Alligator mississippiensis: one gene and its partners. Each later gene encodes a partner of the first gene's protein in a complex. Links are inferred from orthologs where the notes say so. Each region holds a gene or a part of one and is shown in the gene's direction. Other genes may lie near its edges.

Region 1 (10,254 bases):
AGACATCAGGTTGAGCGCGGGTGCTGAGAGCAGTATTTCATGGGGAATCTTTTCAGCAGCAACTAGTTCTCGTAGCCTACGGCTTCAGGCCAGAAGCCCCAGCTGTCCCCTGATTTCTTCTCCAAGGCAGGAGTTTCTTGGCATCCCGGAGCCCTGAGACGCAATGAAAAATGGGAAGCAACGTGAAACTGCTTTAAATATTCACATTAACAATGCAAAGGGCTTCTAAGGCACCCGGGTGCTGCCACCGCAGCCCTGCCGGGCCGCTGCAGGGGCTGGGGGCCTGGCTGGCAGGGTGAGAGCTTGCTCCCTCTCCTAATCCAAATACCCTCTCCTAATCCAAATACTGGTGTGTCCTGTCACCAGGGGCGAGTTTGGCTCGAGGGGTCTGGCCCCAGCTGTTCCCAGGGGAACCGTATTCACCTCTCCCCCTGTCTGCGTCTCCTTCCCTGCAGATGATTCCTCCGGACCAAGAGCTGCTGGTCTGGTATGGGAACTCGCACAACACCTTCCTGGGGATCCCTGGCGTGCCCGGCTTGGAGGAAGAGCAGAAGAAGAATAAGCATGGTATGTAGGGGTGGATGGAAAGTGCACCTGGACCCCAGCTCCTCCCATACCCACCAGCTGGTCCTTTGCCAGGTTGTGGGGGGTGGGAGGGGTGCAGCTAGACCTCAGCATCTGGAGCGGGCACCTGTTGTCCAGCCCATCTGTGCCGGTCCCTGTCAACAGGCTGGCACCTCTAGCACCCTTCTGTGCCCTGTAGAGAGAGGCAGCTATTTAAAGCATAAAGATCAGCAGCTCCCCAGGACTTCGGTGGGTCTTAGCATCGCTTCCCAGCCTTCCCCCACACCAGCTCGCCTGGGACACTGCTGTTTTGCCTGCTGAGCCTGTAAGGGAAAACCTGCCTCCAAGGCCAGAGGTGAAGTGATGCTTCCCTCCTTGGGTGCTGGGGAGAAGGCGATGACTCCTGCTCAGCCAGGGGATGGAGAGGCATACCTGGTCTCATGTCCGACTCACCAATTTCCCCATCATTAACCCTATGCAACCCCTTCCTTTCCCAGGGTGCCAGAGCAGGGACCTCTCTCCCATCCTCTGCTTCTTTCCTCCTGCTGGTTTTCATGGGGACGGATGGAGGGGACATTGGGAGCAGCCCCTGCTGTGGCACTCGCAGCCAAGCCCCCTGCTCCTGCTCTCCCTGAAGAGGGGGTCATGGGCACAGACGTGATCTGGGCTCACAGAGGGTCACTCTCCCTTGCCACCACCCTGGGAGCATGGCAGAGAAGCACGCTGAGGGCACTGAGCGAGCAGGGTGGGCCTCTCAGCGTCACGGCCAGGGCCTGCAGACAGGCGGGTGGGTCCAGAGGCAGCCCAGGCTTCCCCCTTCCTCCACCAGAGAACGACAAGAGCAGGGGTGTGAGTCCTCTTGCCAGCTGGGACCTCCATCCCCAGCTGCTCCCCACAGCCAAGCCCTGCCTCCACCTCCATGGCTTTCTCATGGGGCTGAGGGCTAGGAGGGCTTGGATGTGCTGGCTGGAGCTGGCAGACAGATGCTGCATGCGTCTGCTGCGCTGGTCCCTGCTCCGCTCTGCCGATGCTCTGACGTCCTGACCTTGAGACCCCTGGCTACTCTAGCCAGAGGCACCTCCAGAGCAGAGCAGAGCAGAGCAGAGCAGAGCAAGCCAGTGATGCTGCTGGACGCACATCCCATGCAAAGTGAGGCTGAGCCTGGTTCTCAGGCAGGGTGGGGGTGAAAGGCTCTTTCCTGGCAGAATGGCACTGCTCCATCCTTGGGAGATGTTGGCGCGCTGGCATCTACCAGACCCCTGGGAAGGACATGGTAGAAAGCAGGGCCAGTGGGCTCAGCACCAGTGATCCAAAGTTAACTGCTAGGGGCAGCACGGCAGGCCTCCTGGCTCCTATTCTGGCCTCCCCACTACCCCCACAGCCAGGCTTGTGACCTATACCAAGGAGAGGATGATGGCTTCCTCCCCGGGGGTGGGAGGCCTCATTTGTCAGTGCCCCAATGCACACAGTGCTCCTTGGAGAGCAGGAGCAGCATGGCGCTGATGTGACAGGTGCTTCTCGGTGATTGATTCACCCCACATGTAGAGGCCACGTCATCAAGGCACAAGGAGGGGAGCGAGTGGCTCAGGCTCAGGGGTCCCTGGGGCTTCCAGGGCCGAGGGTGGCAACTGACCCCTGCGGCGTGTGCTTTGTCACGCAGAGGACTTCCACGCGGTGGACAGCGGGGCCAGCACGACGGGGCGCATGCGCTGTGTGATCTGCCACCGCGGCTTCAACTCCCGCAGCAACTTGCGCTCCCACATGCGCATCCACACGCTGGACAAGCCCTTCGTCTGCCGCTTCTGCAACCGGCGCTTCAGCCAGTCCTCCACCCTCCGCAACCACGTCCGCCTGCACACCGGCGAGCGCCCCTACAAATGCCAGGTCTGCCAAAGTGCCTACTCCCAGCTCGCCGGGCTCCGGGCCCACCAGAAGAGTGCCAGGCACCGGCCCCCCAATGCCTCCCTGCAGTCGCACTCCCCGGCCTTACCCGTGCCCCACCCGGCCTCCTTGGCCCATCACATACCCACCATGGTGCTGTGAGCCCCCGCTGATGGCCAGGTTTGGGGCAGCTCTTGCCAGCTGCCGGAGACTGGTACGGAGGGGTTGTCGATGAGCTGTTTGGCATCAGCCCTTGGGGGCAGGGCTGGCAGTGGGGAGAGCAGGGGCAGGGCGGGCGTGCTGGTGACGCTGCGTGCTGATGGAGGGGCCCCTCCCTTGAAGCATTGCTCTTTTCGTGTGGCTTCCGTGTGATGTGTCACTGGGACAAAATCACCCCAGCCCCTTGGTCCCATCAGCACGTCTCCTCTCACTGGTCTCTCCTGGGCAGAGGGAGCTAAGTCTCCGGACAAGGAGGAGGCTTGGGGGCTCTCTTTGTTGCCCATTAGGCAGCGAGTGGCACAGAGGAGTGTGGCAGGGTTAATATGTTGAGGACTGAGACTTGGAGCAGAAGTGGGTGGGTAGAGTCAAAAGGCAGGTTTCTGGGTTCCCCACCCCCCTCCAGGTTTTGAATTCATGCAGTGGGAGGAAGGGAAGAAAAATTCCCATTTCCTTTCCTTCCCCTCCACTCAAGACAATGCTAACAGGAGGCCCCACTCCCATCGCCCGAGCTGGCACGGTTCTGCTGGGGTTCTTGCAGCCGTACCTGCTTCAACACGTGATAGCTTTGGCCTTAACGCTGTGCCCACACTGGAGAACCCCAGTTCCAGCATGAGCAATGCTGGGCAGCTTCCTTTCCACCGAGGCTCTGCAGCGAGGACTGATTTGTGCCTCCTGCCAGGCAAGCTAGAACGTCCCCCTGCCAGGTCAGCGCCGCCGGGGATGCTCTGCTGTGTCTGGGGGGTGGGAAACCTTCCCAGAGACTTCAACCCAGCCTCCAGAATCATGCCCCCAGCTTTTCCAGTCAACTCTGCACATGTGAAATCAGGCAGACGGTGCCCAGGGCTGAGGGTCTGCCCAGGCAGGTGCAGCGCCAGTCCCTTGGTAAAAGATTTGCCCAGCAGTGCTCTCAGGAAATGCAACGCCTGTGTTTTGCCAAGAGCACTGGTGCAGCTCCCACATGGGATGTTTTCGGGTGGAGGCACCTCCAGCGGGCACGGCTCCCCTTGCCCAGGGTGCAAGCCCTTCATCTGCACACACACGCCTGGTCTTGCTTCTCCTTCAGCTCCTCAGCTCTTCCCCACCCCTCCACGCTGGTCCTTCAGCAGACCCTTCTTTTCCTTAGGGACCATTGAAACTGTTCCCTCCACTGCCCTCTGGAGACCAGAGAGAAACCCATCCTTTGGGCAAGTCCCAACCCGAACGCAGTCTGAAGCGCCTCCTGGAGGCCTGCCGCAGTCACGAACCCAGGCAAAGAGGGGGATTTGTAAAATAACGTGGAAGAGAAGCTATTATAATATTAATTCTAAGTATGAGATGTATAGAGTTTTCACAAACTGTGTTTTACTTCCAGAAAACAACTGTCACTTTAACTTTGTACATATTTATGTAAAACATTATTTACAAAACTTTGATATTATATATTATTTGATTGTATATGTACACAGCTGTAAATACCTTTGTACCACGCTCTCTCTTGTATTCTAAATAAAAATTACTTGGAACATTTACCATTTAGATGGTGAATCGTTAGGCACTTTTCTTCCTTGCTGTATTTTAGGACAGCCTGATGCTGGCTTTGGCACAGGGAAGCGACGAGAAGGGGGTCCTTGGATTTTTCTCCTTTTTACTTCCTTTTGTCTTTTTTTTCCTTATTTCGCCTTTTTACTTCCTTTTCCCACTTTCCTTTTTCACTTCCTTTTTCTACTTTCTTTTATTGCCTTTTTATTTTTTCCTTTTTCTACCTTTCTTTTTCTCCTTTTTACTTCCTTTTTCCTTTTTTTACTTTCTTTTCTTGCCTTTTTACTTCCCTTTTCCTTTTTTTACCTTCCTTTTTCCTTTTTACTTCCCTTTTCCTTTTTTTACTTTCTTTTCTTGCCTTTTTACTTCCCTTTTCCTTTTTTTATCTTCCTTTTTCTCCTTTTTACTTCCTTTTTCCTTTTTTTTACTTTCTTTTCTTGCCTTATTTCCTTTTTCTTTTTTTCCTTTTTACTTCCTTTTTCCTTTTTTTCTTTCTTTTCTTGCCTTTTTACTTCCCTTTTCCTTTTTTTACCTTCCTTTTTCTCCTTTTTACTTCCCTTTTCCTTTTTTTACTTTCTTTTCTTGCCTTTTTACTTCCCTTTTCCTTTTTCTACCTTGCTTTTTACTCCCTTTTTACGTCCTTTATGCCTCTTCACTGTGTTGGAGTGAAGTGAACAAAAGTTCCCACCCGTGTATCCTTAGCTAGCAGAACAGCTTGCTAAGGGCAGGGGAGATTTGCTGCTGCTTGGGGGTCAAACCATTAAAACAGCTTGCTATGGGAAGCAGGAGATTTGCTGCTGCTTGGGGTCAAGCAAGATTGGATGCCTTCCTAAAAGACACCGTCAGCCACAAGGTGCAGCAGTCCCTTGAAGGCGAGCCCTTGCCCGTGCAATGCACGAGGTCAGACCTAATGATCAAAAATGCCGCTGACCCTGCTCTCTCTGACCCTACTGCACTGCACAGTTAAGACAAAGCACTGATCAGTCCTGACCTGCCGTTTGTCTAGGATGATCCTTGCATCTTGAAAGAGAGTGGTCTTTGGAATAGGAGGAAAATCATTTGCACACATGTACACCCCCCCAATGCTCACGTGTGCACCAGCACCTGTGCAAACGAAAGGCGTCAAGCCTCAGGTTTTCAGTCACAGCAAACAGGTCCTTAACACAGAAGTGCACTGGACGGCGCCCATTTCCCATTTCCTTCTGGCCAGCACTTGCCTTTACAACCACATGCCCATCGTTATAACACAGCGCAGGCCTGGCGAACGCTAGCGCAGGCTTGCGCAGAGCCTGTTGGCCCGGTGGGAGGATCTAGGCCAGGCTTTTTATGTCCGGAGCAGCTTAACCTTTTGGATCAGACATGCAGAGGGTGTTTCGGTGCCTCCTCAACCCGAGCGTTATGCAGCTGTGGTGCACGGTGCTCACCATCCGGCAGGCAGGACGATGCCTGCAGGCTCTCCCAAGGGACCCAGCCTCATGCAGGACAGCGTGAGAGCCCTGTCCCGTCGGGCGCACGAGGGCCGGATGCTTTCTTGCTTATTCATAGGCTCGTAGAGGAGTCGGGCCGGGAGCGACCTCCAGAGGCCACATCTAGTCCGAGCGCCTGCCTGAGGCCTGTCCGAACCGTCCTGCGCTGGAGGAGTAAATGCACTGGCTGGAGATGAGGACCAAGCAGGGCAATGGCAGCGGGCTGGGCGAGGGGCTGGCTCTTATGTGCTTGCCCCAGTTTTTTCCTGGTGGGATTGGACACTTTCCCTCCCTGCAAGGCTCTCCCCTTGCAAGGGGGAGCCTGAGCCAGCTTTGCCCCTGTGAGCCCCCTGCCCCTGGGGGCAAAGCTGGAGCATCTCTGTGACCTCCCCCGGGGAGCTCCCCACAGCCAGCACTGGGGGGCACCAGAGCTCTTCCAGCTCCTGCCAGCACTAAAGATGGACCCACCCTCTCGCCTTCCCTCAACACCCAACGCACTGAAGGCCGTTCCGCCCTCCTTGCCCGGATCCAACATGGCTTCCCTGCGCCCGCTCCGCCCTTCCCCAAGATGGCGACGCGGGGAGCCCGCACACGTGCTCTTGCCAGCAGTTGGCATGGCGGCGGGAAACCCGTGGAGCCCAAGGGGCCTGAAGCTGCCGCGCCGCCAGGAGTCGGAATGGCGGCTATGGAGGTCCGGCTGCCCGTGGCCCGCAAGCTGGTGGGCCAGGACTTGGCGCGGGGCAGCGGGAGGGACCTGGTGGCGCCGGGGGACACGATCACCACGGACACGGGCTACATGAGGTGGGGAGGGGCAGGCTTCCTAATGTCCTCTGGGGTATTTTTTTGGGGAGGGGGGGTGCATGGGATGGGGCCTCTGCTGCTGCCCTGGGGGGTACCTCGTGTCTGCTGTAACCCCAGGTCCTTTTCTGCAGAGCTGCTGCTTTGCCAGGTGGCCCCCAGCTCGCACCAGTGTGGGGGGGTCCCTGGGTTACCCCCTGCCCTACCACCTCCACCCCATTGCTCACGCGTGGGACCCCCTTGGCAGGGGTCCACCCCAGCCTGCTTCATGTTGGAGTGGGGGGAGCCTTCCTGGCCCCCTGCGTCACCTGCTCTCTCCTCGGCAGGGGCCACGGCACCTACATGGGCGAGGAGAAGCTGGTGGCGTCCGTGGCGGGTGCGGTGGAGCGAGTGAACAAGCTGATCTGTGTCAAAGCCCTGAAAACCAGGTGAGCGCCGTCGGTCGAGGACGCACGAGGTGTTGGCTGGACCCACCCGGAGCCCGGGTATCGCTGTGGGGTGGGACGGGTCTCCCCCTTCCCCCTGAAGGGTGCTGGAGGTGGGGGTGGGATGGGTCTCTGCGTGCGCCCTGCAGCGGAAACCGGTAGGGCGAAGGTTGCTAAACTGGATGCGATCACGTTTGCCAGCTACATCCAACTACCATAACCAGAGAGGTGATTTCATAGGTTTCTAGGGTTGGAAGGGACCTGTTAGCTCATCGAGTCCGATCCCCTGCTCTGGGCAGGAAGAAGCGCTGGGGTCAAGTGACCCCAGCCAGGTGCTTGTCTACTCTCCTTTTAAACGCCTCCAAGGTAGGGGAAGCACCACCTCCCTGGGAAGCCCATTCCATATTTTGGCAACCCTCACCGTAAAGATTTTTTCCCTGATGTCCAACCTAAATCTGCTCCTTTACGGTTTGTGGCCGTTGTTTCTGGTAACCCCGAGGGGCGCCCTGGTAAACACAGCATCCCCTATTCCCTGCCGCCCCGCCCCCCCGATGAGCTTATAGACAGCCACAAGATCACCTCTCAGCCTTCTCTTGCGAGGCTGAGGAGATTCAGGTTCCTCAGTCTGTCTTTGTAGGATCTTACCTGCAGGCCCTCAGCCATATGAGTAGCCCTCCTCCGAACCCTTTCCAGATTATCTACATCCCTCTTGAAGTGCGGCACCCAAAACTGGACACAGTACTCGAGCTGTGGCCTCACCAATGCCGCATAGAAGGGACGTATCGCCTCCCTAGACCTGCTTGCACCTGCTCATGCAAGACAGTGCAGTTAGCCTTACTTATTACCTCGTCACATTGGCGACTCGTATTCATTTTTGTGTTGACTATGACTCCGAGATCCCTTTCCGTTGCTGTGATACTTAGAATGGTACTTCCCAGTCTGGAGGCGTATTGGTGATTCTTTCTCCCCAGGTGCAGCACTTTGCACTTATCTTTATTAAATTGCATCCTATTCTGATCCTCGTGATATCAGGCCCCACATTGCTTGTCACTGTTAAAACCTGGAGGGACCTCACGATTGTCCGCTCTGACCTCTCAGGTAGCAGAGCCCAGCAAATTTAATTCATTTACACCTCTGCTGAGCTCAGTTAAAACTTGCTGGAAAAAAGCCTCTGTATTGGGGCACTGTGCTAGAGTTGAAGCAGGTTGTGCTGTTGGGACCTGTGCTAGCTCAGCCCTGCTTGTGTTTAATTACCGTGGTAGTGATAAGGGGATCTGAATTGAGAGGGGTTTCTGCATCCAGTGTGAACAGTTTCCCTTTTTTCTTGCGCCCAGGTATAACGGTGAAGTTGGCGACATCGTGGTTGGGAGAATCACAGAGGTAAAGTGCCCAGAGGTTTCTAGTCATTGTTTTGTATGAATGACTTGATTTCTCTGATACACAATATTGTCCCAGTTACCCTTATCCTACATGTTATAAATCAGATGTGCTCCTGGGCACAACCCTAGCCAAGGGGGAAGATAACCACCAGACTGTCATTTGTGGCTGGGTGTCTGATCCAAGGTGCACCCAGCAACTTAAGCAATCAGATCTTTTACGGTCTGGCCATAAAGGCTGTGGAAGCTCAGCCCGTAGCTGTACTGGCATGGCCTAAACCCCTGAGTTTGGTTCCAGGTTGTGCTGCTGAGAGACCTTGAGCAAAGCATGACGCGTCATTGAAACCAGGACAGCACTGGCCTCCTTGGTTACTAGGAAGTTCTTAATATAACCAGTGATTTAAAAGCCAGAGATGACAAGTAGCTTTGGGTGCTACATCTGCTCCCCCAGGAATACTCTTTCTGGGGCGTAGGAGGTGGGTTTAGAGTGTACTGAGTTTAAGAGAATAGCCTTGAGACTGAAAAAGTCTTACCTGGAATTGTATTGGAGCTGATCAGTGCTCAGCAGCACACAGCAGCTCTCAGTGCCGTGGCATTAGCAGCCCTGAAACTGGCAGGCTCTTTTCATTTCCAAGTCTGATAGTTTCAGGACTGCTATTAAAAGCCTTGAAAAGGAGGGGCAACAGTAGCCACGAAACCAGCTATCTGCTTTATTTTCAAGGCTTAAAATAGCAGCCCTTTGACAGCAGCTTCCCTTCCTCTGTCTCTGGGGCAGTTAGAAAGCACAGGTAATTTACGAAGTAGGCAGTAGCGCTGAAAGGGTATTTAAGCACTTAGCTCTTACACTGATGATCAGTTTGTTACGCTGTAAATAGCATATTGGAACTGGCAGGGCGTTATGCCCTAACATGAATCAGGCACTCCCACCATAAGTGAAGGGCACTAGTTTTGTTCATGTGTGCTGAGAACAAGACAGATCTTCAGTTATTCCTCGTCCTGAACCTGTTCAGCCTTCACAAGAGAAGACTGAGGGGGGACCTTGTGACCATCTATAAACTCACTAGTGGGGACCAGAAGGGTTTGGGGGAGACCTTGTTTCCCCTAGTGCCCCCCGGGATAACAAGGAATAACAGCCACAAGTTGTTGGAGAGTAGGTTTAGGTTAGACATCCATAGGAACTACTTCACAGTTAGGGTGGCTAGGATCTGGAACCAACTTCCAAGGGAAGTGGTGCTGGCTCCTACCCTGGGGGTCTTTAAGAAGTGGCTCGATGCCTACCTGGCTGGGGTCACTTGAGCCCAGTTTTTCTCCTGCCCAGGCAGGGGGTCGGACTTGAGGATCTACAAGGTCCCTTCCCACCCTACTTCTGTGATTCTGATTTGTTCATGGGCTGGGTTACGTTCTTGAGGGTCCTGCTGGACGGAGAGAGGTCCTCTTGGCGATCCAGCCAGAGGAATTTCTCCCACCTTTCTCTTTCCCGCCTTAGGTGCAGCAGAAACGGTGGAAGGTGGAGACAAACTCCAGGCTGGATTCAGTCTTGCTTCTCTCATCCATGAATCTGCCGGGAGGGGAGCTGGTGAGTAGAAGTCCAGCTTGTATGATGCTGTGTTCCTTTCATGCCATTTGCAACCAGCTGAGACAAGGAGCAGGGCGCTGAGGTGTTCTGTGAGGCGGCAAAACTCTTTTCCCAGTGGCTGCTGAGAGTTGTAGCATCCATATGGAGCTAGTTCATGCATCAGTGTTGCATGGGACTGAGTCTGGCCTTGGAGAGAGGGCAGGAGCAGCCCCAGGTCCCAGATGAAAGCTGTGGTGTGCAGAATTCCCCTGAGAGAAGTTGCACGCTTGAGCCTGTGCTGAGGGGGCATTAGCATGGAGGAGAAGGGAGCAAGGCCCTTCCGTCGTGAGCTAGCGTGCCCTGTCGGGTGAGTTCCATGTAGCTAAAACTCACAGTACAGCATCCCCTGGGAAAGATGCATCCGTTACATGGCACCTCTAGGCTGTCACTGA
Region 2 (11,195 bases), on another chromosome or scaffold:
ACGCATTTAACCCCTTGATCCTCTTCTCTGTACCACTATCATCCTGTAATTCTCATTTGACATTTGTGTGTTTTGTTCACCCTTTTTTTAGCAGTGCTATTCCACATTATCTTTACTGAACCTCAGTGTGTTGATTGCAACTCCTAATTCTTCCCATCTGTTTGGTACCATCTATGAGACCGATGATATTACTCTGCACACAAGGACCCAACTCACTAACAAAAATACTGGTAAGCACTCTGTGGCACTAATCCATTTGTCTGAATGGGTCTTTAACTCAATCATCTCAATCTTTATTTATTTTACCCCTCCTTATAGTCTTAATATGCTAGGACTTTTCTTGAAGAGAGGCTTCCCAGCGCTTCTTGCAAAATGCATTCTAATTACCTATTTGATGATTTGCGAAGATTTGCTGCTAAAACTTACTGCACTGCAGCTTCAATGACATGGCAGGAATCTGTTCCTAGAGTTCATGCATTAAGCTCCTATTAGAACAGTTTCAATTTCTCATCTTCTCTGAAGCGAATCTAAACCTTAGATGAGTTTGATCCAGGGCACAGAACAAACAGGATGGCACCATCAGTCATATCTGGACTATTTTAAATGGTCACTTTTTAGAGCACTGCCTCCCTTGCTCCCATGGTTTTTATCCAGTTCATCACAAAGCTCAAATCAAGTGCAATTAATACAACCGTCATGGTTTTACCACAAAAAAAGGGGAAATAGTATTCTGGGATACTACAACAAACAAGGAAGTCTGGCCACGATAAACGCAAAGGAAACTACACAGTTACCATCAAAAGGAAAAGGCAAGTTTTCACATCTATTTCAAGGCAATCTAACAACATTCACATTCACTCAGTCTACTACTCTCTCAGGTAGACTCTATTGGCTCAAAGAGAACAACCCATAGAAAAATGGTGAGATGGACAGCTTCGTCATTACAGTAATCATGAATTTAAGAATGAGTTATTTGTCCTCCTAAAATCTATTATGGCAGCCAGATAAGACAAATATTTTTCTTGGAAACTTCTCACTGGAGTAGCTTCGATTATTGAGCAAGTGATTAAGTAGTTACGCATAGCTTATCTACACAAAACACTGAAATAACACCTTTATTATGAAACAAATGGCAACATACTTCTCATACAGATTAACTGGAAGCCTTCAAAGTAGTTGGAAAAAATTAGATTGATCAAGTGACTAATTCAGGCTCTCACTGCATCAAACTTCTTGCCTCTGGCAAGTTTTAGCAAATGTTCTATCCAAGTACAGCACTTATTCTCATAAGCAACTCCCATTGATTAAATAAAAAAAGCTCATGGTAGTAAGTACTGTACTTGAGCATCTGTACCTTTTGCACTGCTGGATCCTTAATGCATGTGTGGCTGCACTCTTAAAGGCAATGACAAAAAGAAATGTGCGGCCCCACTTTTATAGAGGTGTTTAATAGTCATTAATACAAACACCATTTTTGTGGCTATCATATGCTGTCATTAAGGACAGGAAAATGTCACACTTCCTGGAACCTTGCCCCAGGCTCCTATTATTGTAGACAATAATTTTACTGTATCGTTACAGAACGATATATCATTAGAATTTGAGCGAAAGTACTTTTCTCCTACAGATCTACGATATTTGCATCTTCATCATTTTGAATCCAAACTGCACACAGACTCATTTATATATCTGGAAATACACTTGATCTTATCCAAGTTAAAATCAGAGGGGGTGAGGGGGTGGGGGGAGGAATCTTAAATTTTTGCTGTCCACTGGTCATTGTGCTCAGGAATATTCAAAAGGGACAGCATAGGTGAGAAGAGCACTTGTTCTCTCAAATGTTAGCATTGTAGTAAGCAGGGAGAAACATTAAGATTTAAATTAGGAACTGCCATATCATCATCATCATAAATGTTGTTGTTATTATTATTATTATTATTGTTGTTGCTGGGAAAAGCTCTAAAAAGATTAAAAAACATTTAGAAAGTCAATCAAAATCCTTGTTATTAGCATACAAAGGACCTATCCCTAATCTTTTTCAATTGGTCAGCTCCACTATAAGCACCACAAGTTCCCTCCCGGTTTGACTGCAATGCCGGACTTTGTAACTTTGCTTCATCGAGGCTCAATTCCGTCATCAAAAAGATCCAGAGGAGGTGCTCTTATTTCACGGTTCAAGCAAAGACCTCATTGGCACTTGGCATGGATGCTTGGTTACCCAATTAAATGCCTGGGGCTCCAGGATTTAAATTGCAGGGCAGCTGAATTGAAGGTGCCTTCAGTGACACAAGCATTGCTGGACTGCAGGAGGCCTAAATCATAGCTAATAATAATAATAATAATAATGAGACAAGTGAGGCTGCCTATGGACGATACCTTTTCCTGGACTAACTGCACAGTTGCAATGGACACCGGTGAGCTTGCAGCCATCCCAGAAAGGCACTGTGACCCCTGATGGCTTGCCCACATCCATCCCAACTGTGTGGCTGGTCAATACGACCCGTCCCTGCCCCCCCCAAATTGGTAGGTAGAAGATGAGGGCTGGAAGGGAGGTCGTCTAGCGCAACCCCTGCTCAAAGCAGGGCACATCTGTCTATCTCTACATCTAATCCTTGTGCACCCCCCGGGCGGTGCAGCCTAGCTGTCCTGACGCCTGCAAATAAAGGGGACTTTGGGGACACAGGTGGGCGGGGCGGGGCAGGCCTGGCTGCTGGCTCTGGGCAGGAGGAGCTGCAGCGCCCGCCGCGCCGGACTCAGGGGCCGAGCGGCCGGCAGAGGAAGGCTGCCGGCCGGGGACGGCGGACGGGAAGGCCGCGCCTGGTGCTGGCGGCGGCTCCTCCTCGCTCCCCGCAGCCGCAGCGCCGCCACCTACCGCACCGCCGTCGCCGCCGCTCCCGCTCAGAGCTGCGCCGCTCCAGGCCGCCGCCTGCAGCCGCCCTCCGCCGGCTCCCATCCGCCCGGGGAGGCAGGGCGCGGGGCCCCGCTGCGGTACCTCCTGTTCCCCATCCGCCGGTCCAGGAAGCAGCCGCGCCGGGAAACGCCACACCGCCCGGCCCGGCCCGGCCCGGCCCGGCCCGGCCCGGCCCCACGCGGCGGCGGTGGCGCCTCCCCCTGCCCTGTCAGCTCGGCCGCAGCTCCCCCTCTGGCCCCCGCGCGCGGTCCGCGGGAGCTTACGCGCTCCAAAAGCCCGATAGCCGGGTCCTGGCCGCAGTGGCCTACAGGAAAAGGCAATCGGGACTCGTAGCAGAGGTGGTGTCTTTTATTAGCCCGCCAAAAAAAATATCTTTAATTGCAAGCTTTCGGGCACAAAAAAGGACCTGGATGCCGCGTATCGAAGAGCCAAGTTGCTCTCAGAGAGCCTCGACCCACTTTTGGGTTTGGGGTCAGCACTTTTCTTTTTTTTTACGGCTGTTTGCTGGGCGGTAGGGGTAGAAATGAAATGCTTCAGCTTTAGATGATCCACTTCTGCGCTCCCTCCCTGGCCACTTAATGCAATGCAAAGTAAATAAGAAAAAGACTTGTTTGCATAATTGTTCAGCAAATGCAGTAATTCTGAGCTTACAATACAGTCATATTTAAAACCTGGCAATGCTGCTTCCAGTCTCTTACTCCCAGTCCCTGTTCCCAGGCTCATCTTTACGCAGCTAGAGGTCCGGAGCGATGAATTCGATCCACTCCAGAGCTGGAATTGCATCCAAGTGTCTATTGACAAATCAATCACAATGTAAAATAGTATCAAGTATGTCGGTCTGAATGAGGAGCTAAAAGGAGCCCACGGGACATAGGTGATGTTATTTTACATGCCCCACGGCCTCCTCTCAGCTCCTCATTCAGGCCTATGTTCTTAATATTATTTTACATTTCAATTAGTCAACAGACATTTTGGGGGAAAATCAAACTCTTGAGCACACTGAATTCATTACTCCCGACCTTTAAGTGCGCAAAGATTAGCTTTGAGAAAGGAACCGGGAACAAGGGACCAGGAATAAGGAGACCACATTTGCATCATGGCCGGAGCCATGTCCTCTTGGCCTCTGTGGACCTGTTTGCCTGGATGCCACAGCAGCAAGGCCTCACCTGGGCTCAGGTGCAGACAGCCTCGTGGCAGAGCTGTGTATGGCAAGGAAGGCATTGCCCTGATGCAGCTGCCCAAGCATCACACCCAGCTGTCTCTGCCTCCCCAGCTTGAGGGACTAAGAGTCCATTGAGAGCTGGGAGCTTCCCCAAGGCTAGAGCAGGGCTCTGAAGCTGCAAGAAGATGTGTGTTAACTGCTCTGTTGATTTCCCCCACAAGCAATACAAGGCCTGAGGAAATATGGCTGTGCCTGACCCATTCTGCTTATTTCTTGCATTTCCCCCTTACCTGCTATTGTATTTATTTAAATATTGTTTCTTGGCCTTTTGGCTAAGATCAAGTGGGACATGGGGGCATTTGAACCTGGGGCTTCTGGGCCTGGAGCTTGCACATAGGACACCTGCCTGGATTTTGGGAATATCCAAAGCCCCAGACAGATAAGTCTGGGAGGGAGGATACTTGCTCTGTGGTCGAGCCACACAGACTTGCCGATTAAGTTCTGCTCAGTTGAATTTTGGAACTTGACTATTGGGCCTTGCCCTGTTGAATTTGGAACAGATTTGGCCTTGAGCAAGATAAAATTCTATTTAAATTGTAATAGCGGTCAAGCAGGGGCTGGCTTTTCTGGCTGGATGGTGTCTAGTAGAATGGAGTCTTGATCAGTTGCACTGGAGCATTTAAGATCATGTGGAGGTACCACTTGAGTTTATGTAGTCCAGCCCCTTGCTCAAAGGCAGGAGCATCCCTGACTCATTTAGGTGCTCCTGGGAAACAAAAAATAGACACGTATGTGCAAACACACATGGGTTTGTGCACATGGATGCCCCCATGTTACACCCAGGTTCTTAGCAGCAACTCGTAAGAACAATAGGGAAGGACAATACATATTGCTGTTTGGCCCATGTTAAAAAAAATGCAGAACCTGGCAACCTTTTCTTTGAAACCTCCTCTGTCCCTCAGATTTGGGGGAAGGAGATGAAAAACCACTGTGAGAAACCTGCCCAAAGCTGGCCAAGTTCCAGTGTTGCCAACTCTCATGATTTTTGGCATTGCTGTTAAAGTCTAGGGTTTGGGAATACAAAAACCTTAGCTCTCACACACACGCACGCGCACCCCCCCCCCCCCCGGTTTTCGCATCCCCAAAGCATAGACTTTAAGAGCAACGCCAAAAATCATGAGTTGCCAACACTGAAGTTCTAAACCTTTGAAATACTGCACTTTGCTCATGCTCAGTAGATAAGAAAGCTTCTTTTGACAGTATCACAAAAATGCTAACCACAGTATGCTACTCCTTGAAGATTAAAAAAACACATACATGATGTCCCCCTCAAAAAACCCTATGTTAAAAGAATGTTAAGGTTGCAAAGTCAAAATGCTCAAAATGTAGGAAATTCCGAATGAAGGTAACCTGTCGAAGCTCAGTTTAGCAGCCCGATGGTGCCTGTATCGTTATGACAGTCACTAGCTCTAATTACAGCTTCCTGGCTAGAGCATCTTATTCTTCTGCTCAGGGTCAAATTGATCGCCATATTTGGGGTCAGGAAGGAATTTTACCCCATGATCAGGTTGGTTTGGACTGTGGAAGTTTGTCTTTCTCTGTAGCCCTCTAGTCCCAATCTCTTGAATCTACATTGAGAACATTTCTGTGCCAGGTTAGGGTGCTGGGTCTGTATTCCTTCAGGGTTGATGGTAGTCTTACGTAGAGTTTAGATTATGGTTTGTATAGGGTGGTTTGGATAGGAACGATCCTGCCTCAGGCAGGGGGGTTGGACTAAATGACCTCTGGAGGTCCCTTTCAGCCCTACTGCTCTATGGTTCTATACTATGTATTCCAGATGACTGCCTGCCTCATCCCGTGCCCAAAATAGCAGACTGGCCATAGCAGAGGTGCTCACATTGCAGCCCTGCCAGATTCTAATGAACATGCAAATTCAGCTAAATACCTCTCATCAACAACCTCAGACACGACATGAGAAGCAGAAGTACCCAAAAAGACAGAGCTCATTGGATGAGCTATTCACTACTTCTCCTTTTAGTTCAGTTTGAATCCCTGTGTTTGATTTGTCACACCCAATTCAAGCGCTGCTCTGAAGACAGAGCCATAATTTCCATCTAGGGTTTCCTGTAGGCCATAACAGAAGTGCTTATGGCGCAGCCCTGTCATATTCCAACAAAACTGCAAATTCTGCTAAATACCTTGTCACTAGGACTCAAAAAAGGGGGCTTCCTATAGCTGCTATAGTGTTGCATATGGCATGTAAGCGCATGGTATGCTTAAATGAACTTATTTTAAGGAAATTATTGGGTATTATTATCCCCAGTTCCATCACTGAGGAACCAAGTCTGAGAAATTACGGTCAGACCTATTTACTACTTTTAGGTCCCCCCAGTTTGAGACACCTTGGACACCCCACCCCCCTATTATATAAGGTCTTTAGATGTCCAAAATACAAGTCCCTTTGACCAGGGCTCAAGAAACACCCAAGAAGGAAATCAGTTAGACTACCTGACCTGTGAGAAGCATAAATGAGGTGACCCATAGGATCTCCTGCATCAGTGTTAAAATTCTGCCATCTCCCCACTTTGAGGCATTGTCTTTGTAATCACCATGTTCTTTCAGTGTCCCTGGGGTGTGTGCACGCATGCACCTTCTATGTGACTCACCCGCACCGTGACTCAGTGCAGGCTGCACCTCCATCAAGAGATGCAGCAGGTGAAGCTGCTGGCTTAAGATTCATTTCTTGTCCCCCCTCCAGAGACAGGGACAAGCTGAGTGCTGCTGTGCATAGCTGCAGGGGGTAGCTGTGTTGATCTAAGATCAGGGTAAACAGGGCTCTTTGGGTAAATGTGGTATCTTGCACTGCCCCCTGAGCCTGCCCAGCCAGCACTGCAGGCTCTCACACTGGTTTCTATGTTATGCACTCAGTGGATTAGCGCTCAGAGACTACGATGCGCCATTACGGTGGTAGGCAGGTAAACCGCGTGTGCTCAGCCGCCACCTATACGCACATACGTTTTTCCAAGTAACACGGATGCGCATGCGCAAACCCTCAACTTTCCCTGCGCATGCGCCCAGTTAGTGCCTCACTCCTCACAGTTCCTTGAGGCGGGAGAGCCTGTGACGCAGGGGGCGTCAGTCGTTCCACCACGCGTCACGGGGTGGAAGTTACGTACACCCGATGCTGTGCCTCACGTCGGCTGACAAGGGTTCGAGGAACTTCGTTGCGTTTTGATGACGGCATCCGCAGTGAGCCGGAAGTGTTTACGAGCCGGCGCGGGGCATGGCGTCTGTGGTGCTGAGCGAGGCGGAGAAGGTTTATGTCGTGCACGGGATCCAGGTAACGGGCTCCCCTCCCCCAGTAGCTCCGCCTCGCTGCTCCCGGAGCGCCGCTTCCCCCCTCCCAGCCCCATGGAGGTGCCCGCTCCTGGCTCTCACTCCGTGTGGCCTTCAGGGGCGCGAAGAGACCCCGTGGGCGGACTGGTTTAGGCGCAGGGGATTGCTCTCTGCAGTCCTGGGCTTTGTCTTGTGAGGGAGGGCGGTGGTGCGCTAAATAGTGGGGGAGGGCGCCGGGGCTGTGCACCTTGAAGGCTCACAAACCTGTGTGTGTGCACGTGGGCATAGGTAGGCTTGCTTTGGTGAAAGCTGCCCTGCCTTTCACATCTAGGCATCACAAGGTTTCATTAGCTGAAGTGTGCTTCATAAAGTGCTATGAAAAAGAAGCCAGGCTTTTCACTAGGGGTGCACCAATAAAGACTTTATTAGCTGTTACCCATAGTTAATTATTCACCAGGCATGTCGGATGTTACTGACTTAATAAGTGATTTACAGGAGCACAGCTGGGTGGTCTAGAGAGCAGCGCCCTGCAGGTAAGTCTGGAGGGGAAGGGAAGGAGCGGGGCAGATCAAGACCCCCAAGGTGAAGGAGGGAGCGGGGCTGGGGCTTGCGGCACTGCCCATCCAAATCAGTGACTAGGACCTGGGGCATGGAGTGGGACAGAGCCGCAAGTGGCTTGTCCAGGGTATCAGCATCCTAGTGCTGAAAAATGGTGGTGGGGGCATTTGAACTAAAGCTCATCAAATGAGCTTTAGTTCAAGTGCCACTGCCACCCTTTTTAAGCCCAGAGCAGAGCCAAGCAGGGCAAGGTTGGATGCAGGTTGCCCACTGCAGGCTCGGGGCTCTCCACTCTGCTGCCTTTGCCTGGGAGCCTCACGCTGGCCTCACAATTTGCCACCCTCACTGCTGCCGGGAGGTGCAGGGCTCCTGGGGAAAAGGCAGCAGGGCAGAGAGCCCTGAGCCCACAACAGGCAGCCTGCATCCGCCCTACGCACAAATCTGGAGGGACACATGACCCCACAATGCCCTCTCTGGGGCTTGCACAGTGATGGGGAGCCATCCCACCCCTCCCCCCACACATTCCTTGGACGAGTCACCCATAGCTCCGTCTTGCCCTTGCCCCAGGTCCCATTCACTGCTCTGGCTGGGCAGCATCCCTAATTCCTGCCCCACTCCCTCCCTCACCATGAGGGCCTTGATCTCCCTCCCCCATGCTCTTCCCGCCCACCATAGATTTACTTGCAGGGAGCTGCTCTCCAGGCTGCCCGGCCACATTCCTGGCCATGTGTATGCGTGTGGCCATGCATATGTACGCGGCGTAAGGGAGTCCTGGCCAGAAGGCATAATTATTATATTTATCAGTGAACTTTATCAGATGCACCGGACCAAAAAAAGCCAATAGCTGATAATGTAAACTTCTTTTTTATCGGTGCCAATCTGAAATGCAGCTGATATATTAGTGCACCTCTACTTTTCACAGTGTCTGATAAAAGTGCACTTTAGCTCATGAAAGCTTGTGTTAAATATACATGAAAGGCAGGGTAGATTTGTGCTAAATATATTACAGGCATAGTAGAAATATATGTGACTCACCCTGCATCTCGTAGACTCACCAAAGTATGTATGCACATGCATGCATGTGCGCATCCAGTTTCGTGAGTCTACAAGGTGAAAACCTCTCAACATACATTTTTATCCCACTTTTTATGTATATTTAGATATGAGCCAACAGTGTGCCCTTGTTGCCAAGGAGGCTAACAGCATCCTGGTCTGCAGTAGTAGGAGTGTTACCAGCAGATTGAAGGAAGTGATTATTTGCTTCTTCAGCACTGGTGAGGTCACCTCTGGAGTATTGTGTTCGGTTTTGGGCTTCCCACTACAGAAAGGATATGGACAAGTTGGAGAGAGTTCAGTGGAGGACAGTGAAAATGGTTAGGGGGCTGGGGCACAGGACTTGAAGAGAAGCTGGGGGAGCTGGGTGTATTTAGTCTGCAGAAGAGAAGACTGAGGGGGGATTTTATAGCAGCCTTTAACTACTTGAAGGGTGGTTCCAAAGAGGATGGAGCTAGACCAGGGATGGACAAAATATGGCCCATGGCCCGGATCCGGCCCATGAGGCCATTCTATCCAGCCCATGGGGCTCCTAAAAAATTTAGAAAATTAATATTTATCTGTCTTTAGTTCATGTCAAGAGTAACTGGAACCAGGGCCAGTAGGTCCCAGGGGAAGCCCAGTGGGCTCCTGCCCCAGCAGGGGCTTCTGACCTGGGACCATGTGGCTGCACTGGCCAGAACCTCAGGTAAGGGGTGTGGGGGAGGGCAGGGAAGGAGCCTGGAGAAAAGTGGTCCCTCCCCAGCCCCATGGGCAGTGCTCCCTGCTGCAGCTGCTTGCAGCCCGCACAGAGCTGTCCTGAGCAGGCAAAGGCAGCCCCACGCAGACTGTGAACAGCTGTGGTGCAGGGCATCAGGCACAGAGTGAGGGAGGGGCCTCTTGTCCCCACTCTTGTCCCTTGGTGCTGCGTTCAGCACCAGCTTGTAACCCACCCCCACTGCCAGCCTGGGTCCCGCGCCAGTTCTGGGCTTGCCCTTTGGGGCTGTGCACAGTGGCAGCAGCTGTGCCCACCCCGCCCCCTGCCCAGAGCTTCCGCACTAGGCAGCCCAGAGGCAGTGGTGGTAAACACCGCTCGGCTCAGCAAGCAGGGGGGGCTGCAGCTGCTGCCACCAAGGCACAGCCCCGACGGGTGAGCCTGGAACCAGTGTGGGGCCCCAGCTGGTAGCAGGGGTAGGTTACAAGCTGGTGCTGAGCACGGGAAAAGCAGCCCCTTCCCTGCCCCATGCCCCGTGCCCTGGGGGCAGGGGAGGGGGCCTGCTTTTCCCCCACACGCAGCGCCAGCTCATTCCCTGCCATGGAGCAGGGGGTCGGGGCTGTACACTGCTCCCTGCCTGTACCATGGGGCTTAGGGGGCACTGGGAGTGAGCGGGTACACAGGGCCCACACTGGTGTCCTGGGGCCAGTGCCGGCAGGGCCCAGAGCAGGACAGCAGGAATACAGGGGTCCCGGGTAGCAGGGGCTCTGTGGAGCCAGGCCAGCTCCCCACTCCCTGCTGGTGCAGCCCAATCCAGCTCCACAGACCCCTGCCAGCCTGCTCCCTGCTCTGGGCCTCACCGGCACTGGCCCTGAGACATTGGGACATTGGTCCCAAGATGGTGACCAGGGGGCAGGGCACCTGTCAAGGAGCGGGGCTACCTGTGTGGCCCTTGACAGCTTGCCAAAACTGGGTAATTGGCCCTCCGCCTGAAATAATTGTCCGCCCCTGAGCTAGACTGTTTTCAATGGTGGCAGATGGCAGAACAAGGAGCAGTGGTCTCAAGTTGCAACAAGGGAGATTTAGGTTGGATATTAGGAAAAGCTTTCTCACCAGGGTGTTGGTGAAGCACTGGAACAGGTTACCTAGAGAGGTGGTGAAATTTTCATCCTTGGAGGTTTTTAAGGCCCGGTGCAACAAAGCCCTGGCTGGAATGATCTAGTTGGGGATCATCCTGCTTTGAGCAGCTGTTTGGACTAGATGACCTGACAGCCCCTTCCTCCAACCCTAATTTTGTATAGTTCTGTGATTTACCACAAGCTTTTGTGAGCTGAAGCTCACTTCAGGATGCCAGGCTTTTCACAGCAACTGATGAAGTGCAGTTCAGCTCACAAAAGCTTGTGCTAAATATATGGGAAAGGCAGGGTAGCCGTGCACCTTGTAGGCTCACAGAATTCTGCACATGTGCCTGCATGCATGTA
Region 3 (9,143 bases), on another chromosome or scaffold:
TGGGTCCCACCGCCCCGGGGGAGGGGGGGTCTGGGCTTTGCCGCTGCCGCGCCCGCCCCGCGCAGCCCGGCACGGGCGGGAGCCGGTGCCCACTGATGCCAGGCGCCCTGGAGCGGGGCTAATGCCCCCGGGCTCGCGTCCCCTGGGTGGGGCGGGGCGGGGCGGGGCGGGGCCTGACACCCCCAGCGTGGGTCCCTCCCCGCCCCCCCCAGGGGCTGGGCGCAGCCATCTGTGCAGGTGTCCTCTGCACTGGGCGCCCGGGCCCTCGCGGGCTGCTCTAGAAGTCTGGGGGGGACAGAACCCCTCTGCCCCCCAGTGCAGGGCATTGTGGGAAGGGTCTGGAGGACTCCACGGTGCTCAGATTGCCGGGGGGGGGGGGAGCAGCTGCCCTGACCCCTCACCCCTATGGGGCGCCTCTGCCCCTCTCATAGACAAGTCCGACAGGGGGTTGCTCTAGGAATCTCCAGGGTCCCCTGGTGCAGGGCATTGTGGGAAGGGACTGGAGGACCCCACAGTGCCTGTGTGGGGGAGGGCAGGGCTGCGCTGATGCCCCCACCCTGCTAAGGGCACCTCTCCACCCCTCTGACAGACGGGTCTCTGGATATTGCTCTAGGAAGCTCCAGGACCCAGAACTCACCTGCTCCCTGGTACAGGGCATTGTGGGAAGGGCTTGGAGGACCCTGCAGCACCTGGCTGAGGGGATCAGGGCCTCCCTGCCCCACCCCTTGTCCTTCCAGCTCCCTCCTGATGAGCAGGATGCGGTACCACAAGTGCCTGACGGTGGCACTGGCCCTGGCCACACTCCTCTGCCTGGATGCCTACATCCGCTGGAGCCCGCTGGGGGAGCCCGATCCTGTCCCCCTGCCGCTTGCCACCACCCCTGCACCCCCTACCACCCCGGCGCCCCCACTGCCCCTGCACCACAGCCTGCAGATCCTGGCCAACATGGTGCCCCGGGCAGATGCCTACTGGAACCGGCAGCTGCACCAGCGCCTGGAGGAGTTGGGAGGTGGCAACGGCACCAGCGCCAGCGCTGGCACAGCGGCGTCCCTGGGTGTCCCCGACTGGGCGGCTTACCCAGAGCCCCTGCAACGCTTCGTGAGCCATGGCGCCCGTCGCCACTACCCGCTGCTCCTGGAGCCGTCGCGGCCGTGTCCCCCGGACGGCCCCTTCCTGCTGCTGGCCATCAAGTCGGCGCCGGGCGCCTTCGCCGAGCGCCAGGCTGTGCGGCAGAGCTGGGGGCAAGCGGGCGCTGGAGTCCGCACCGTGTTCCTGCTGGGGGCACCTGACGGGGACGGGGACACCCCGGACATCTCGGGGCTGGTGGCCTGGGAGAGCCGGGCCCACGGCGACGTCCTGGCCTGGGGTTTCCAAGATGCCTTCTTCAACCTGACACTCAAGGGGCTGCTCTTCCTGGGCTGGGCCGGCGCCCACTGCCCCGGCGCCCGCTTCGTGCTGCTGGGCGACGACGACGTCTTCGTCAACACGCCGCGCCTGCTGCAGCTGCTGGCGGGGCTGGGCCCGGGGCCCGTGTACGCCGGGCACGTGATGGCTGGGGCCTGGCCCGTGCGGGCGCCGGGCAGCAAGTACTATGTGCCCGAGAGCTTCTACGCCGGGCCCTACCCAGCCTACGCAGGCGGCGGGGGCTACGTCTTCTCCGGGGCGCTGCTGGGGCCGCTGCAGGTGCTGGCCGGGTTGCTGCCGCCCTTCCCCATCGATGACGTCTTCGCCGGGCTCTGCTTCCGGGCGCTGGGGGTGGCTGCCCGGCCCCACCCTGGCTTCCGCACCTTCGACATCGCGCCCAGCGACCGCGCCAGCCCCTGTGCCCACCGTGCCCTGCTGCTCGTGCACCGGCGCCAGCCCCCCGAGACGCTGCGGCTGTGGAGGCAGGTCCGCGACCCGCAGCTGCAGTGCTAGGATGGTGGGGGGGGGGCTGTGTGTGTGTGTGGGGGGGTGCAGCCTTTCTATGAAGGGGGCATTAAAGGGTGTTTGCGTGCACCTGGCTCTGTCGCTGCTTAGGAGGGGTGAGGGGCTGCAAGTTGGGAGTGAGGGGCACCGGCAGGGCTGGGGTGGGGGAAGTCACGGCAGAGACCTGTCATTCTCCCCCCGCCCTGGGTGCACCGAGGTTCTCATGTCCTCAGCCCTGGCTGGTCCCCGTCCCCCTGCAACAGAGACCTCTGAGCCCAGCTCAGTTCTTACAAACTTTATTGGTGACGCTGCTCCTGGCAGCTCCAGTCCCAGCTCCAGGCCCCCAAGGGTGGGCGGGGGGGAGGCACAACCCTCCTAGCTCCGGGGGCAACAACACCTCCAGCCACTGGCCAAGCGGTGTGGGGAGGACGGGCTGTCCCAGGACCCAGCTCCCCCCCACTGGCAGCACAAGGGGACGGAGGAACAGGAGGTGAGAGTGGAGGTGTGGGTGGGGCCCGACAGGCATGTGCAGGGCTAGGTGGGGTGGGTGAAGCCTGGGGGAGGTAGGGCTAGGTTGGGTGGGTGGGGTTGGCAATAGGGGGCGGAGCCTGCCAGGCATGTGCAGGGCTGGCAGGTCTGGTGAAGGTGGGAGGGGCCTGATGGAAGCATGGGGGAGTGGGTGGGGCCTAGGACTGGGTGGAGTCTGCTAGGCTGCGATGGTGGGTGGCTGGCAAGGACGGCAGAAGGCCTGGTAGAGATGGAGCTTGTTAGGGTGGGTGGGGCCTGAGAAAATGGGCGGAGCCTGCCAGGCACAGGCAGAGCTGGCAGGTAGCCTGGCGAAAGTGGGAGGGGTCTGGAGGTGGGTGGAGCCCAGGGGCGGGGCCAGCAGTCACTTGTCAAAGAGCGCGAGCGGGTAGTGCTCGCCGTAGAGGCGCAGGTGCCGCGCCAGCCCGTCGCGCTGCCGCGCCAGCCCGGGGGGGGTGTCGCAGTACACATCGGAGAAGAGCAGCTGGGGGCTGGGCTTGCGGCGCCGCTCGGCTGCTTCGAAGGCCTCCAGCACCTGGTGGGGACGGGCACAGGTGAGTGCCGCCAGGTGAGTGCCCCCCCCCCGAGGCCCCACCACTCACCTGGCGCCGCGACTCCTTGCGCCAGGCCTTCTCGCGCGCCTCGTCCCACCAGCCGCGGCCCAGCATGTAGTGGCGCAGGCGCGAGATGGGGTGGTCCTGCTTGTCCCAGTAGTCGACCTCGTCCACCGAGCGGTAGGCTGAGCTGTCGTCGCTTGTGCTGTGGTGGCCAATCCTGGGGGCGGGGGCGGGGCTGAGCCTGGCCCTGCCTCCTCCCTAAGCCCTGCCCCATCAGGCCCCTCAGGCTCCGCCCTCAGCCTGGCCCCGCCTCCATCAGGCCCCTGCACCCCCCGCACAGCCCTGCATCCTAGCATAATCCTGCCCCCTTCCAAAGCTCCACCCCCATCAGGACTCAGTTTTCCTCCTGCAACTCCAGCCTGGCTACGTCCCCTCCCTAAGCCCCGCCCTCATCAGACCCCTGGACCCTCAGCATAGACCCGCCTCCTAGCATCTTCCCACCCTCTCCCCAAACTCCACCCCCATCAGGGCTCAACCTCCAGCCTCCCTAAGCCCCGCCCCCACTCACCTGTAGGTCATGGCTTCAATGAGGAAGGGCTGGTTCTCAGCCACGGCGCGCCGCCGCGCCTCCCGTGTGGCATTGTACACGGCGAACACGTCGTTGCCGTCCACGCGGATAGACAGGATGCCGTAGCCAGGGCCACGTGCCACTGCGGGGGAGGCAAATGTCACCACTGCAGCCCTGATCCCGCCCCCGGCCCCCGATCCCAGCCCCGCCCCCCGCGCTACTGACCAATGCCGTCGCCGCGGTACTGCTCGGAGGTGGGCGTGGAGATGGCGTAGCCATTGTTGCGGCAGAAGAAGAGCACGGGGCAGTCCAACGTGGCGGCGAAGTTGAAGCCGGCGTGAGCGTCGCCCTCGCTGGCCGCGCCCTCCCCGAAGTAGCAGATCACGGCGCGATCAGCGTTGTCCCGCTTCATGGCATACGCTGCGCCCACCGCTGGCACCGGGCGGGGGGGAGGGGGGGAGTGAACCAACCCCCCCTCCCAGCAGCCACGTCCCAGCTTGGGGGAAGGGGAGGGAAAGGGGCAAAAGGGCTGCAAGCTGGGAGCGAGGGGCAATGGCGCGGTTGGGGGCTGCAGGGTGGGAGCGAGGGGCAATGGCGCGGTTGGGGGCTGTGGGTCAGGAGCGAGCGGCACCAGCGGGGCAGGGGGGGTCAGGAGGTCGGGAGCGCAGGGGTCTCACCTTGGGGGATCTGGGTGGCGAGAGGGGATGAGATGGTGACGAAGTGCAGGTCACGGGAGCCGTAGTGCACGGGCATCTGCCGGCCCTTGCCGGGGTCGCCGGCGTGGCCGTAGCACTGCGCCATGAAGAGGTCCAGCGGGTACCCCCGGTACATCAGCACCCCTGGGGCACGGCGCCACGTCAGGAGGCACCGTCGTCGACCCCCGCCTCGAGGGGCTGGGGGCAGCCCCCCTGGGGGGGGGTCACAACAGGGCTTTACCTGCCTCGCGGTACTGCCCGAAGACCAGGTCGGTGGGGTCGAGCGCGGCGGCGCTGCCCACGTGGGTGCCCTCCTCCCCGTAGTTAGTCATGTAGAAGGAAATGCGGCCCTGGCAGGGGGGAAACCGAGGCAGGTGGCGCCGGGAGCCCAGCCCGCCCCCCCCCCCCCAAGGGACCCGGGCATCCAGGCGCGCCTCACCTGGCGCTGGGACTCGTACAGGATGCGGTCCATGGTGTTGAGCAGCGTCATGGTCTTGTAGAGCTTCAGCACCGTCTCGGCGGGCAGCTGCGGGCACGGGGGGCGGGGTCAGCGCGGGTGGGCGGCGCCCCGGATCCGTGACCCCGGGGGTCGCGCCCCCTCACCTGGGGGTCCTGGCTGGGGTTGAGGATCTGGCCCTGGCGGTCCATGACGCGGTAGACGGGGATGCCAGCCAGCACGTTGGGCTGGATGAAGTCCAGCGTGTCCACGAAGGCGGCCGAGGCGCCGGGGAACTGGGGGCGCTCCGCCGGCGACGGGAACTCCTCCTGCTGCCTCGCGGCATGCTGGGAAGGGGCGCCGTTACCCATCAGGCCCCGCGGTGCCCCCCCCAGATGATGTCACGGGCCCCCCGAGCTGTGCGGGGAAGGGGTGGGCTCTGCCCTCCATCTACACCCGGGGGGGCTGGTGTTTGGGGCGGTCCCTGTGCCCCCCCCCCCCCCCCCCCGGCACCTCCTGGACCAGGGTGCCCTTGGGTGCGGCAATGTCAAGGCCGCGGGGAGGGGCCAGCTGGGGGAGGGGGGGCACGCCCCCGGTGCGGACCAATCAGTGGCCGAGGCTGGGGGGCGTGCTTGCCACCTGCCCCAGGATGGGGGGGCTGATACCCCTCTGAGCTGCCAGGGGGGCTAAAGCCAGCTCTGCCCCCCCCAAAACAGGGTGGGGGTAACTGCTGGGGGGGCAAAGCTCATCCCGCCCCCCCAGGAGAACCCCTGCCCCACCCCACTGTGGGAGGATTGCCTCCCCACACACGTGACACCCCCCTCGCGTGCCCCCCACCTAGGGGGGATGTGCCCCACCAGGCCCCGCCCCCGCCGAGGCCCCGCCCCGCAGGCCCCGCCCCCGCGCTCACCCCCGTGCGCAGTCCCCGCAGCTGCAGGAGGCGCAGGCCCCTCCGCATGCCACAGGCCGCCGCCATCTTGGTGCGGGCGCGGGGGCCGATGGGAGAAGGGGGAATGGGGGTGTCACCATAGCAACGGCGTGTCTCTGCCCTTTTAGGGAAGCCCCGCCCCCACGGTGGCCCCGCCCCATGCCTACGCGGTGTGCTGATTGGCTAACGAGGAACAACGCCACACCCTGTCAGGGAGAGGGGGCGTGGCTTCGCGCACCCCGCCGCGCTGATTGGCTGGGCCGCGCCCGGCCCCTCTGTCAGGGAGAGGGGCGGGGCCTGCACCCATTGGGCGCCGTGATTGGCAGGGGCGCGTGCTTCTCCGGCCTATCCGGGGTAGGGGCGCCCAAGAGGCGCATCCATTGGCTGCCGTGCGTTCCAGCCCCCCACCCGCCTCGAGGGGCGGGGACTGCGCGTAAGAGACGCTGCGATTGGGCAGGAGCCGCGTTGGGAAGGAGGGGAAGGCTGCCCCGGAAGCGGAAGCTGCGCGTGCGGGCGGCATGGGCTCGGAGCCGGAGCCGGGCTGCGCCCTGCGGCCCTTTGCCGTGGAGCAGGGGCTACTGTCGCGGCCCGACGGCTCCGCCGCCTTCGTGCAGGGTGCGGGGGCGGGGCTTCGAGCGTGGGGGCGGGGCTAAGGGCTTTCCCCGCCCCCGTTGACCCCGGTGCCCCGCAGGCGACACGTCGGTGCTGGCGGGCGTCTACGGCCCGGCCGAGGTGCGGAGCAGCCGCGAGAGCCCCGAGCGCGCCGCGCTGGACGTGCTGCTGCGGCCCAAAGTGGGGCTCCCCGGTGAGGTGACCCCTGACCCCGGGGTCATTCCCCGCCCTCCACCTCCGTGCCGTGGGGGGGAGGGCACGGGCTTCTCCCCATCACGTGACGGGGTGGGGGCGCCTACAGAGGCCTGGACACTTGGGTTTTGCACTGGGGGGTGATGCCCTCCCTGGAGGGTCACGGGGGGCGGGGCTTCCTGCTGACCCTTGACCCCCCGCAGGCGTGTTGGAGCGGAGCCGGGAGCAGATGGTGCGGCGCGCGTGCGAGGCGGCGCTGCTGGGCGAGCTGCACCCCCGCTCCTCCGTCACCCTCGTGCTGCAGGTCGTCAGCGACGCCGGCTCCGTATCCTGCCCTGGGGGGGGCAGAGATGCACCCCCCCTCGTCATCGTTCAACCTCGCCGGGCCCCCTGGGAAGGACGGGGGGTGGGGTGGGGGTGAGGCTGCTCTAACCGCTAGGCCCCGGGGACCGGGTCGTTGGCCTTGACCCCGGGCCCAGCTGCTGTCGTGCTGCCTGAACGCCGCCTGCCTGGCGCTGCTGGACGCGGGGCTGCCCCTGCGCTCGCTCTTCTGCGGGGTCACCTGCGCCCTCGCGCCCGACGGCGCCGTCGCTCTGGACCCCAGCGCCCGCCAGGAGAAGGTGGGGGGGGGTGTAAGGGATGGGGGAGCAGATGGGAGCCGGACGCCTGGATTCTCTGGGAGGGGGGCGATGCCTCGTGCGTGGAGTAAGGGGGGGGCCTAAAATCTAGGACGGGATCGCTCCTTGGTGTGAGGCTGCAGGAGGAAGGGGGGCTGCTGGGGGGCAGAGGGGAGCCTGCACGCCTGGGGTCACACTCTTGCCCCGCAGGAGGCCCGGGCGGTGCTGACCTTCGCCTTCGAGAGCACGGAGAAGAGGTTGCTGCTCTCCACCACGCGCGGGGCCTGCTCTGCCAAGGAGGTGAGCGCCCCCGTCGTCCCCGTTAGGCTGGGGGTGCTCGGCAATCCCAGCATGCCTTGGGTGGGGTCCTGTCTCCTGGGGGGGAGGGGCCTGGCTGCCTGCCTGCCTGCCTGTACTGGGGTCCTAGTGCAGCCCTGACCTCTATTCCTCCTCCCAGTTACACCAGTGCCTGGCTCTGGCTCAGCGCGCCACCGACACCATCTTCCAGTTCTACCGTGACTCGGCCAGAAGGAAGTTCTCCAAGAGCTGAGGCCCCTGCGGGGAGCCGGACCCCCGCAGACCCGGGGGGGGGGGGGGCAAGGACATGCCTCAGGGCAGCAATGGGCAGCTGAACTGAAGGTGGGGGGGGGCTGTGGGTCGGGAGTGAGGGGCAGCAGTGGGGGCGGAGGGGTGGGAGTGAGGGGTGCTTCCGCCCAGGGGCTACCCAGTGTTCTGGTGGGATGGGGGGGCCTGCTCTGGCATTGGGGTCCCCAAATAAAGAGCACACGGTCTGTGCTGTTGCCCCCCAGCACCCAAGCATCTGTCTTGTCCTTAATGACACATGTTTTTTGTGGTTGGTTACCTGTGTGTGTGTGTGTGTGTGTGTGTACACACGTATACTGGTGGCTTCCCCATCCCCGGGGGGGGGTGGTTCTCTCCACCTTTCCCTACCCCCACCCCCAGTCTTCCCCTTGGTTCTGGTCACGGGCAGGGGGCGGTGGGTTGGGGGTGAGGGGCACTGGCTGGACTGGGGGGCAGGGGCTGCCAGGGGGTGGTGGGACCTGTGCTCTCCACGGCTGCTGTGGCGCTTGGGGCGGGGGACCCGTTAGCTGCATTTAATGAGCTCTGGGGGTGTGGGCAGCATCCTATCAAGCCTCTGCCTAACAAGCCTGGCGCTGTGGCTGGGCTCTTCGTTTACCGACAGCCCCAGATCTGGCCCGGACCCCTCTCGAAGGCAGGGGTGGAGGCCCATAGGGCTGCCAGGCCGCAGAGCGAGGGTGCTACGTGCAGACCTATCTACCTCTGGGCCTGTGCTGCTGGGGCGCAAGGGAGGGGGAAGTAGGGCCCATCCGTGGCCCTCAGGGCATTGGCAGGGCACCTCGGGCTGCCAGCAAGGCTGTTGCTGGAAAACGTGTCCCCAGGGCCATGGCCTGCCCCAGGTGTACAGTGAGGGGCCGTGGCACCCCACAAAACAGCCACCCTGGGGCTGTGGCACCCCCGGGTGGCTGCCATGGGGCTGGGGCAGTTCCACGCTGGCCGCCCTGGAGCCATGATGCCCCTCTTAAGGCAGCTGAGACCTGTGGCTCCCTCACGGGGGTTTCCATGGCGCTGTGGTACCCTAAAGGTGACGGTGGTACTCTGGGGTGGCTGCGGTGGAGCTGTGGCACCCCCATGAGGGTGGTCATGCACGGCGGCATCCTAGAGTAGCTGCCCCTGGGCCCTGCCACACTCAATATGGCGGCGGAGCCCCTCCCCCGGGCCTGTGACCCACCCAAGATGGTGGCGCTCTCCTATTGCGGCCAATGCTGCTTTGCCACACCCAAGGTGGCGCTGCGCCCGGCCATCGTGCTCCCTTCCCACGATGGCGGCGCTCTCCGTGCGGCAGTTCGACCTCCTCAAGATGGCGGGCAGCGCTCTCTTCCCTTCCTCCCGCTCTCTTGGGCGGGGCTGCGAGTGATACGTCAGCGCGCTCGGTACTCCGACCAATCAGAAGCCGGCATTCCGCAGGGGCCTGCCCGGTTGCCGTGGCAGCGGCATCCGGAAGTGGTCCGGAGTGCAGGGGCGAGTGGAGTCCTGCGGGTGCAGGCGCACGTGTGTGCATAGGG

Evidence for each region. Proteins that work in one complex are often made in the same cells at the same time.
Region 2: EXOSC2 (region 1) and EXOSC7 share a complex: the UniProt entries of both Homo sapiens proteins name them as parts of the RNA exosome core complex. The link is inferred for Alligator mississippiensis from reciprocal best matches to the Homo sapiens genes EXOSC2 and EXOSC7.
Region 3: EXOSC2 (region 1) and EXOSC5 share a complex: the UniProt entries of both Homo sapiens proteins name them as parts of the RNA exosome core complex. The link is inferred for Alligator mississippiensis from reciprocal best matches to the Homo sapiens genes EXOSC2 and EXOSC5.

The regions. Positions count from the first base shown.
Region 1 is NC_081835.1:59,316,615-59,326,868, forward strand, and holds the start of EXOSC2 (exosome complex component RRP4), read left to right. Parts: upstream 1-6,201; 5' UTR 6,202-6,216; coding exon 6,217-6,449; intron 6,450-6,772; coding exon 6,773-6,874; intron 6,875-8,205; coding exon 8,206-8,251; intron 8,252-9,733; coding exon 9,734-9,823; intron 9,824-10,254. Other genes in the region: PRDM12 (PR domain zinc finger protein 12), read left to right, coding at 456-567, 2,225-2,607. UniProt on the Homo sapiens protein: Non-catalytic component of the RNA exosome complex which has 3'->5' exoribonuclease activity and participates in a multitude of cellular RNA processing and degradation events.
Region 2 is NC_081828.1:136,665,974-136,677,168, forward strand, and holds the start of EXOSC7 (exosome complex component RRP42), read left to right. Parts: upstream 1-7,185; 5' UTR 7,186-7,356; coding exon 7,357-7,413; intron 7,414-11,195. UniProt on the Homo sapiens protein: Non-catalytic component of the RNA exosome complex which has 3'->5' exoribonuclease activity and participates in a multitude of cellular RNA processing and degradation events.
Region 3 is NC_081838.1:1,543,985-1,553,127, reverse strand, and holds EXOSC5 (exosome complex component RRP46), read left to right. Parts: upstream 1-6,085; 5' UTR 6,086-6,135; coding exon 6,136-6,232; intron 6,233-6,308; coding exon 6,309-6,422; intron 6,423-6,624; coding exon 6,625-6,746; intron 6,747-6,900; coding exon 6,901-7,041; intron 7,042-7,248; coding exon 7,249-7,338; intron 7,339-7,495; coding exon 7,496-7,588; 3' UTR 7,589-7,633; downstream 7,634-9,143. Other genes in the region: B3GNT8 (UDP-GlcNAc:betaGal beta-1,3-N-acetylglucosaminyltransferase 8), read left to right, coding at 748-1,917; BCKDHA (2-oxoisovalerate dehydrogenase subunit alpha, mitochondrial), read right to left, coding at 2,798-2,968, 3,036-3,207, 3,559-3,700, 3,784-3,990, 4,236-4,397, 4,495-4,603, 4,693-4,779, 4,857-5,036 and 1 more. UniProt on the Homo sapiens protein: Non-catalytic component of the RNA exosome complex which has 3'->5' exoribonuclease activity and participates in a multitude of cellular RNA processing and degradation events.